2 linked regions of the Oryctolagus cuniculus genome follow. The protein of the gene in region 1 interacts with the protein of each later gene in a biochemical or structural test. Links are inferred from orthologs where the notes say so. Each region holds a gene or a part of one and is shown on either strand. Other genes may lie near its edges.

What was found.
Region 2: of the proteins of EID1 (region 1) and FBXO21, one has a biochemical effect on the other in vitro, tested with the Homo sapiens proteins (2 studies listed by BioGRID, with this or other methods). The link is inferred for Oryctolagus cuniculus from reciprocal best matches to the Homo sapiens genes EID1 and FBXO21.

What each region holds. Positions count from the first base shown.
Region 1 is NC_091443.1:71,693,591-71,698,099, forward strand, and holds the start of EID1 (EP300-interacting inhibitor of differentiation 1), read left to right. Parts: upstream 1-1,486; 5' UTR 1,487-3,786; coding exon 3,787-4,371; 3' UTR 4,372-4,509. UniProt on the Homo sapiens protein: Interacts with RB1 and EP300 and acts as a repressor of MYOD1 transactivation. Inhibits EP300 and CBP histone acetyltransferase activity.
Region 2 is NC_091452.1:13,519,143-13,523,411, reverse strand, and holds the start of FBXO21 (F-box only protein 21), read left to right. Parts: upstream 1-1,301; 5' UTR 1,302-1,357; coding exon 1,358-1,596; intron 1,597-2,268; coding exon 2,269-2,404; intron 2,405-4,038; coding exon 4,039-4,133; intron 4,134-4,269. UniProt on the Homo sapiens protein: Substrate-recognition component of the SCF (SKP1-CUL1-F-box protein)-type E3 ubiquitin ligase complex.

The sequences.
Region 1 (4,509 bases):
CTGTATTTCTCTGCCTTTCAAATAAATAAATAACTCTTTGAAAAAATGAAATAAAATAAGGGCTGGGGATGTGCCAGCAACCCATATAGGTGCTGTTTCCTGTCCCCGCTGCTCCCCTTCCAATTCAGCTCCCTGCTGATGGCCTGGGAAAGTAGTTAGAAGATGGCCCAAGTGCTTGGGCCCCTGCACCCACTTGGGAGACCTGGAAGAAACTCCTGGCTCCTTGCTTCAGATCAGCTCAGCTCTGGCCATTCCGGCCATTAGGAAGTAAACCAGCAGATGGAAGAACTTTGTCTCTCCCTCTCTTCATAACTTTATTTCTCAAATAAATAAATAAAATCTTAAAAAAAAAAAAGAAAAGGTTGGTGGCAACATTTGTTCCTTAGCTTTAGTCAGTACACTTTCCCCTTTCCTTTATGTTTTTGTTTTCTATGTATTTATTTTTGCATAGTTTGAAGTGTTGTTGTTCACTACCAAAAGTATTCTGACCAAGTCAGTACCCTTAAGCCTTCCAATATGAAATAAAACTAGTCAAGTGAATTGCATCAATAAGCCAAGAAAAATCTTTTTAAAGAACTTTTTTTAAAAAATTAATCTGAAAAACAGAAACAGATCTCCTATCTACTGGTTCACTCCCCTCAGTGCCTGCAGCAGCTGAGGCTGGGCCAAATAGGAGCCAGGAACTCAGTCTGGGTCTCCCACGTGAGTGGCAGAGATGCAACATCGTGAGCCATTTCATGCTATCTTCCAGCGTACACATTAGCAGAAAGCTAGCACTGGGCACCAGAGTGCACATTAGCAGAAAGCTAGCACTGGGCACAGAGCCGGGACTTGAACTCAGACCTTCCAATATGAGACACAGGCATCCCGGAGATGTATTTGCCACACTGTTTTTTAAAGTTTCATTAGAACATCAACACTATGGGTGGACTTCTGGCTAAGTGGTTAAGTTCCTATTTGGGATGCCCACATCCTATCAGAGTGCCTGGTTTTCCTGGCTGCTCTGCTCCTGATCCAATTTCCTGCTAAGGCACACCCTGGAAGGCAACAGATAATGCCCCAAGAACTTGGGTCCCTGCCACTCATGTGAGAAGCATGGATGAATTCCTGGCTCCTGGCTTCAATCTGGCCTAGCCCTGGCTGCTGACGGCATTTGAGAAGTGAGTCAGTGGACAAAAGATCTCCTCTGTCTCTCAATCCCCCACCCCCACCTCCACCTTTCAGATAAAATGAAGAGTAGTTTTTAAAAAGTTCTTTCTTTCTTATTTGAAAGGCAGAGTTACAGAGGGAGAGAGAGAGAGGCAGAGATAGCAAGATCCTCCAACCAATAGCTCACTCTCTAAATGGCAACAACAGCCCATTGGAAGCCAGGAGCTTCCTCCCCATCTCCCACATGGATGCATGGGCCCAAGATTTGGGTCATCCTCCCCTGTGGATCTTGCATTGGATGCCGGCACCTTAGGTGGTCCCAATACATAAATTTTATTATTTCTTTTTTTTAAAAAAAGATTATTTTATTTGAAAGGCAGAGTCACAGAGAAGTAGAAGCAGAGAGAGAGAGAGGTCTTCCATCTGCTGGTTCACTCTCCAGATGGCCACAATGGCTGGAGCTGGACTGATCCAAAGCCAAGAGCCAGGAGCTTCTTCTGGGTCTCCCACTTTGGTGCAGGGGCCCAAGGACTTGGGCCATCTTCCACTGCTTTCCCAGGCCATAGCAGAAAGCTGGATCAGAAGTTGGGCAGCCAGAACTCGAACCAGTGCCCATATGGGATGCCAGCACTGCAGGCGGCGGCCTCACCTGCTACACCACAGTGCCAGCCCCAATAACTACATTTTAAAAACTTAAAACACTAATACTATGCACTATGTACTACATTTCAGAATTGTGTGGCAGAATCTGCTAGAGCTGCTATTATACAATGACCAAGCAATGTACATCTCACAGAACTGTGTATTTATATGGAATGGTAGATATTCTCAAGAAAGACAAAAACTTCCCTGGTCGTAACTGCTCTGAACTGGAAACAATCCTAATATTACCACTGTGCTACTCAAATGGTCTATCATTCACAGCAACGATGTTTGGAGAGCAAAGAAGCCAGACACAAAGAATACATGCTGCTTTTTTAATGCATATAACATTTAAAAACAGGAAAAAAATACTATCTTTAAATATATTTATTGGAGAGATGGAGAGAGGAGAGGGGGAGGGCGAGGTAGGGGGAGGGGAGAAAGAGGGAGAGGAAAAGCAAGTGAGCTTCCATCAGCTGATACACTTCCAGAATGCCCAGAGCTGGAGCTGTGAACGCAATCCCCGTCTCACAGGTGTGGCAGGACCCCAATTACTTGAGAAACCATTGCTGCCTCCCAGCGTCTGCACTAGCAAGAACCTGGAGTCAGCAACTGGAACCCGAGAGTCGCTTTGCTCCTGTGATCTCAGAGAACGGGTTCTGCATCTCAGGGAGAACACGGCTGCTGCAGTGAACCTCCTCGGTACGCTCAGGTAACCTGACACAAGACGAAAGCATCCCACTGGCATCCTCACCGCTAAGTTAAACACCTCTTCCTCCATACAGTTTTTAAAGATTCCTTGTATTGCACAAATGTTTGATTTACAAAAGATCTATAAGAATCAGAAGGAAGATAAAAATTGTTTTTGTGCAGTAGGAAAATCCATCATGATAAAAAGACATTCAGAAAAAAAAAACCTTTAAATCTGATTAAATAAAACTAATTCTTAAGACCTCTTAAGACAGACGAGGAACAGTTGTAACCTTAAAAACAAAGTATTCACATACAGATTTTATAAGGAATTCAGAGGACACAAGTCAGTAACAAAAGAAATACCAAATAGGGCTTCTTTAAGAATAAAAACTATAGAAAATATATAGTATTAAATGATACACTATTAAATTGATAAAACTGTTAAAATCCAACAAAAGCAGGTGTGAAAAGGGTGTGGGGAGTTCTCAAATACTACTGTCTAGAACTTAAATTTTTACAGCAACTTTGGAGAGTACTTTGACAATATTTAAAGTAGACATACCCTATACACATAGAGAGAGCTAAGTCTTCAGGATATTGATAAACGTTTTTGAGAGTTATATAGAGCATGCAGAAAAAAGTTTTCCCACATAAAAATCCAAATAATGTAAAAAAATTATTTAAAGAATATACATCAAGCTGACTGATAATAGGAGAAAGCTACTTACTAGGAAAGAAAAATGGGACCAAATGTTCACTGACTATAACTGAAAATAGGATAACTTAACTTATATGACTTGTGAACTTAATTTTAAGGGGCAAAAAGAAAAGAGCAGAATGGCTCAGTTCTCAATATGTTGGCCTGCGTGTGGTTCGGAGACGTGGATTGAGAAGTCATTAGGGACTAGACGAAACCGTGGAGCAGGTGCGGTTGCCTGGGGGATGAGGAAGAGGAGCAGCAGGAGCGTTAACTGTGGTTAGGGAGGTATCTCCCAGTTTATAGCATCCTAAGTAGTATCGCGGCACAGCGAAGCAGAGCCCACGGAACGCTCTCGTACACACAGTCTCTAGCTGTGAGGTTTGAATCGGTGGACACACAGTCCACCGAGCCGCCCCGACATTCCCCGGGGAACGGCGAGCTCCCCGCCATAGCGGGGCGCCCAGCGGGAGGCGGCAACTGGGGGGCCACGCATGCGCCCCGAGTCCCGCGAAAGCAAGGCTTGTGCGCACGCGCACAACGGCGCAGCCGCGTCGCCCCTGTTTTGCTAAAAGCGCTTTGCTAGAACCTGAGCGGTTTCTACCATGTCGGCAATGGCAGAGCTGTCGGAGCTGTATGAAGAGTGCAACGACCTGCAGATGGATGTGATGCCCGGCGACGGGGACCTTCCGCAGATGGAGGTAGGCAGCGGGAGCCGGGAGCCGACCCCGAGTCCCTCCCGCAGCGGGGCCGCGCCACAGCTCGAAGAGGAAGGCCCGATGGAGGAGGAGGAGGGGGCGGCGGCCCAGCCAATGGCGGCGCCGGCGGGGAAACGCGGCCTGGCTCCCGGGCGCAGCCCTGGGGAGCAGCCCGGCCAGGTCGCGGGCCCGGACTTGGAGAGCGAGGACGAGGGCGAGGAATTTGATGACTGGGAGGACGACTACGACTATCCAGAAGAGGAGCCGCCGAGCGGCGCGGGCTACAGAGTGTCCGCGGCCCTGGAGGAAGCCAACAAGATGTTCCTGGGCACATCCCGAGCCAGAGAAGCAGCCCTGGATGGCGGCTTTCAGATGCATTATGAGAAGACCCCGTTCGACCAGTTAGCTTTTATTGAAGAGCTCTTCTCACTTATGGTTGTCAATCGTCTGACCGAGGAACTCGGTTGCGATGAGATTATCGATAGAGAGTAGCTGAATGCTGACCGGAGAGGAGGGACCCGACATTCCACTTGCTTTGGGGTTCGTTCCAGATAGGTTCTGTGCCAGTGAGAAAGTCGATCTTCAAAACAAGAAGTTGTTTTTGTTTTTCGGAATAGAAGACAATAGGAC
Region 2 (4,269 bases), on another chromosome or scaffold:
ACCAGGAGCCTCTAATCTCCCTGCTGTTTCAGTCAGTTTGCGTTTTGCACATGTTTTGTTGAAGTGGGAGCAGAGCACATCTTCCCGAGAGGGGCTCCTCTCGTGGCACCTGCTCTGCAAGGCCCCCGCGTGGGGTAGCCCGTGTCAGTGCCCATCCTAGAGAAACCTAGTCGGCCGGCCAGACTCCATTTCGTCAATAATAATCTTGCCAGCACTGCAACGTGGGAATGTTTTACTTCGCGGCCTGAGCGCAATCTCTTTGAAGTGCAAAAGGCAGGTGGAGTCCCTACCTCTCTGCTACCGTGGGAGTCCAGTAGGGGCACCATGTTCCCAGCTGGAACCACCTGCATCATAAAGACGTGAATGACTGGGCTATTCCTTGAGGCATAGGCACCCAGCTGGCACAGCGTGTCCTCTGTTGCCACAACGCCTTGGCTGGACTGGGAAAGAAGGAGGGGGTCAAGTTAGCCCAAACCTGGAGAGCTAGGGTGCACACTCCGCAGATGGCCTCCCACCATCCAGGAGAGTAACTGGGCTACTTCCACCTTCTCAGATTCCCACTCGGGGGGTTGGGGGACCCTCTATGGCAGCCTCTGTCTACTGACAGCAGATTGCTCCAGGAGGTCAAGGACCCCATTTTCCCTCAGGTCCGTATCCCCAGGGCACACAGCACAGGGTGCGGTACTGCACGGAGCTGAGTTTAAAACAAGGAAAAGGTGTAGGTGCCGGGAGTACAGCCACCCACGCTCCTCCAGGCTGCTCCGCTCTTGCCTGACTTAGAACCAGAGACGCCCACCTTTCCGAGCCTGCTTTTCCTTATCCGTGCAGTGGTTATAATTAGAGAACCTATCGTGGGAGACCAGAACATGCCTTCCCAAACTATGAAAGGGCGTCCTGCTGACGAGAAGCGCTGTCAGCCCTCCCTCCATGTGCCTGAAAGCAGGCGCTGCTAGGAGTTGTTACTCCCTGCAGTACTACAGAGGGCTCTGTTCATCACAGCGTCCTATAAAGAACGTGGTTTGGCACAGCAGATCCGGCGTTTAAGCCCCGGCTAGGGACGCCGGCATCCCATATCAGAGTGACGGGGGTTCGAGTCCCAGCTCCCTGCTAATGTTCAGCCCATTTAAAAACATTTTCTCAAAAAAAAAAAAAAAAAAAATGGAGGCCATTAGGTCCTGTTGCAGCCTCCCTGGCTCGGAGCTCAGCTCCCTTCTGCAGGAGCTGAGAGGGGGTGCGGCCAAGGGTGGGCGGGGCGCCGCAGGCCCCGCCCCCCGAGGCTGGTGGGCAGGGCGAAGAGGGACGCCCCCGGCGCGCTCGTGCGCGTGCGCGCGCCGCAGACCCCAGGTACGCGGACAAGATGGCGGCAGCAGCGGTGGACAGCGCGATGGAGGTGGTGCCCGCTCTGGCCGAGGAGAACGCGCCGGAGCCGGCGGGCCTCAGCTGCCTCGTCAACCTGCCGGGCGAGGTGCTGGAGTACATCCTGTGCAGCGGCTCGCTGACGGCCGCCGACATCGGCCGCGTCTCCAGCACCTGCCGGCGGCTGCGCGAGCTGTGCCAGAGCAGCGGGAAGGTGTGGAAGGAGCAGTTCCGGGTGAGGTGAGCCCACCGCCCCGCGCGCCGGGCCGGCCGCGGACCCCAGCTCGGGACCCCGCCCGCGGCCGCCAGACAAAGGCCTCGGGGCCGTCGGGGCCCCGCCGCGCCGCCCCCCCCACCCGGTGCCCAGATGGCGCGTCCGGGCGCGGGGTCCCCGCTCGGGGCCGCCGCCTCGCGCCGGGTGCGCTCTGCGCGCCTCTTTTGTGCCCGCCGCGGCGCGCGGTGTTTACAGCCCGGGCCGCGGGGGCGCGGCTGGCGGGGGTGGGGGGTGGCGGCGCGGGATGTCGATGCGGGGCTCCGGGTGGGATCCGGCCCTGCGGCGCCCCGGGGGTGACCTTGGGGCCGGCGGTTTCCCGGGCCGGGCCTCCTGCGTGGAAGGGTCGCGCGGTCCTCAGACCTCCTCGGCACCGGGAGGTTCTGATCGGGCGAGAGGATGCGTGGGACGCGCGCGCGCCATCCATGTTTACTGTCATTGTCATCGTTCTCGTCCCCGTCGTGTGGACCAGGGGGCCGGGGACACGGCCGTGGCGTCGCCACGCCAAGGGCACGGTGCGAGGCGGGGCGCGCGCGCGGGGTGGGGGTGGGGGGTCTGAGCTGGAGACCCTCCCCCCCGGGCCGAACCCGAGGCTGCCTGCGTGGCTCTCTGAAGCGGGGCCGGTGTGTCTCTCCCCGTAGGTGGCCTACCCTTATGAAACACTACAGCCCCACCGACTACGTCAATTGGTTGGAGGAATACAAAGTTCGGCAGAAGGCTGGCTTGGAAGCCCGGAAGATCGTGGCCTCGTTCTCCAAGAGGTTCTTTTCGGAGCACGTAAGCATCCGTGGACGTGGCCGCGAGCGCTGCGTGGCCGTGGGGTGTGTGCGTGGGGCTGGGGCTGCAGGCAGGCGCTCAGGTCCCTGCGTTCGCTTCCCCAGCTGCGAGAGAGTCATTGTGTCCCCTTCCTCCCATCCCTGCCAGCCTTACTTTCTAAAAAGCCAGAGGGAGAGAATGGGGCAGGAGGGAGTAGGGAGGTGTGCCTAGAGCGGATCCTCTGCCCAGCCTCCACCTAAAGTGGGGCATCATCATTGGTGATTGAGCTCTCTAGATCGCTCCCAGTTGTTTTCCCTAAAGGGCTGACGGAATGAATGCAATTCTGCTGTCTGGTGTTGCGGGTTCTACCTGGTGATGAACTGCATTATTTATCTATAAAAGGACAGAGAGTTACAAAGCTGTCTGTACATCAGAGTTGTAACTCCCTCGCATAAAATGACCTTGCAAAGGCTTTCTTTTCAATAGTGCCAAAATGCATGGTGGGTTTTTTTTTCTCACCCCCGAAATGTCTCCCAGAAGTTTCTGTATCCACTCCTAATGCTGAATTCTTTGCGTATCCAGACGACAACCCACTCTGATTTTCTGAACTTGTCTAATGATATTTATTTCTGGTCGGGGGTCCTAGAACGGGAGCCCACCTGTTTTATTTTACCAGCCTGGGTTTCTGAAGATTACTTCTGATTTTCTCACTTCATTACTACTAATGGAGTTCATACATTTGAAAGATTTTAAGGCTTCTCAAGTTTTGAAGAGGAAAATCTGAACTCTTTCTCCTTGTGGAGAATAAAAAATAGACCTTCCCTCGTGTCATTCCCTTCTGTAAACGTTTATTGGTGCAAGGAAGCGGACTTTATGTTGCACTTTGGAGAAGCCACGCCTGGGCTGACCGTGTCGGTCATCACAGACTGCGAGTCGTGGTGTGAAGCCTTGCACACAGCGTCCGGGCGCTGCGCAGCTTTGGTGCTGCTGGCCACGGGCTGCGAGGCTACGGCGTCCGCTGCTGCAGCAGCCGGTTGTGTGTGTGTGTGTGTGTGTGTGCGGTTTGAGCTTTCTCTGCCTTTGTCTGGTGATGAAGAATTGTGTTTGTTCCTTTGCTCCCCCTCTGCCTGTCCCATGCTTAATTAGAAGTATGTCAAGGACTTTGAACACAGCGGGAGTATACTTCAGACTGATCCGTGGGTGGGCGATTGGTTTGGCTCTGGACCCTTCTGTCCCTGCGTTCCCAGCATGCACACGGGCTGACCTGAAACATCCTGGCTGCTTTTACAAAGAAGAGGAGAAGTCATCTTAAAGTCTTAAATACCAGCAGGCTAGAGGAGTTGCCTCCTCCCTGGCTTATCTCGCTGGCCCTCTCTCCTGGTTGGTACAGCTGATCTGTGTGATGGGAACGCGTGATCCTGAGCTGTAGGACTTTGTAGCTGTAGTTCTGGTTACAGTTACTTTTCTTCGCCTTTCAGAAACTGCAGTCTATGGAAACACAATTAATTTACAAGTACCAGATGTGAACAGGTTAGGAGGAGAGTGTGGAATAGCTCCAAACAGGCACGTTTGTCGGCCACTCAGATGGGTGTTTGAGAGTGACAGCTGCGTTAGTACTCACGCTTGCGGCCTGTTGATGTCTGTCTTCCTCACAGGTTCCTTGTAACGGCTTCAGTGACATTGAGAATCTTGAGGGACCAGAGATATTTTTTGAGGATGAACTGGTGTGTATCCTGAATATGGAAGGAAGGTAAGCCTAGCTTTAGCAGGTTTTTTTTGTTGTTGTTTTTTGTTTTTTTTTTTTGTTTTAATAATAACCCCAGAAGGAATTGCTATAATGTGTGGCTGAACCCCGGAACATGTTTTGATATATAAGGAAACTTTGC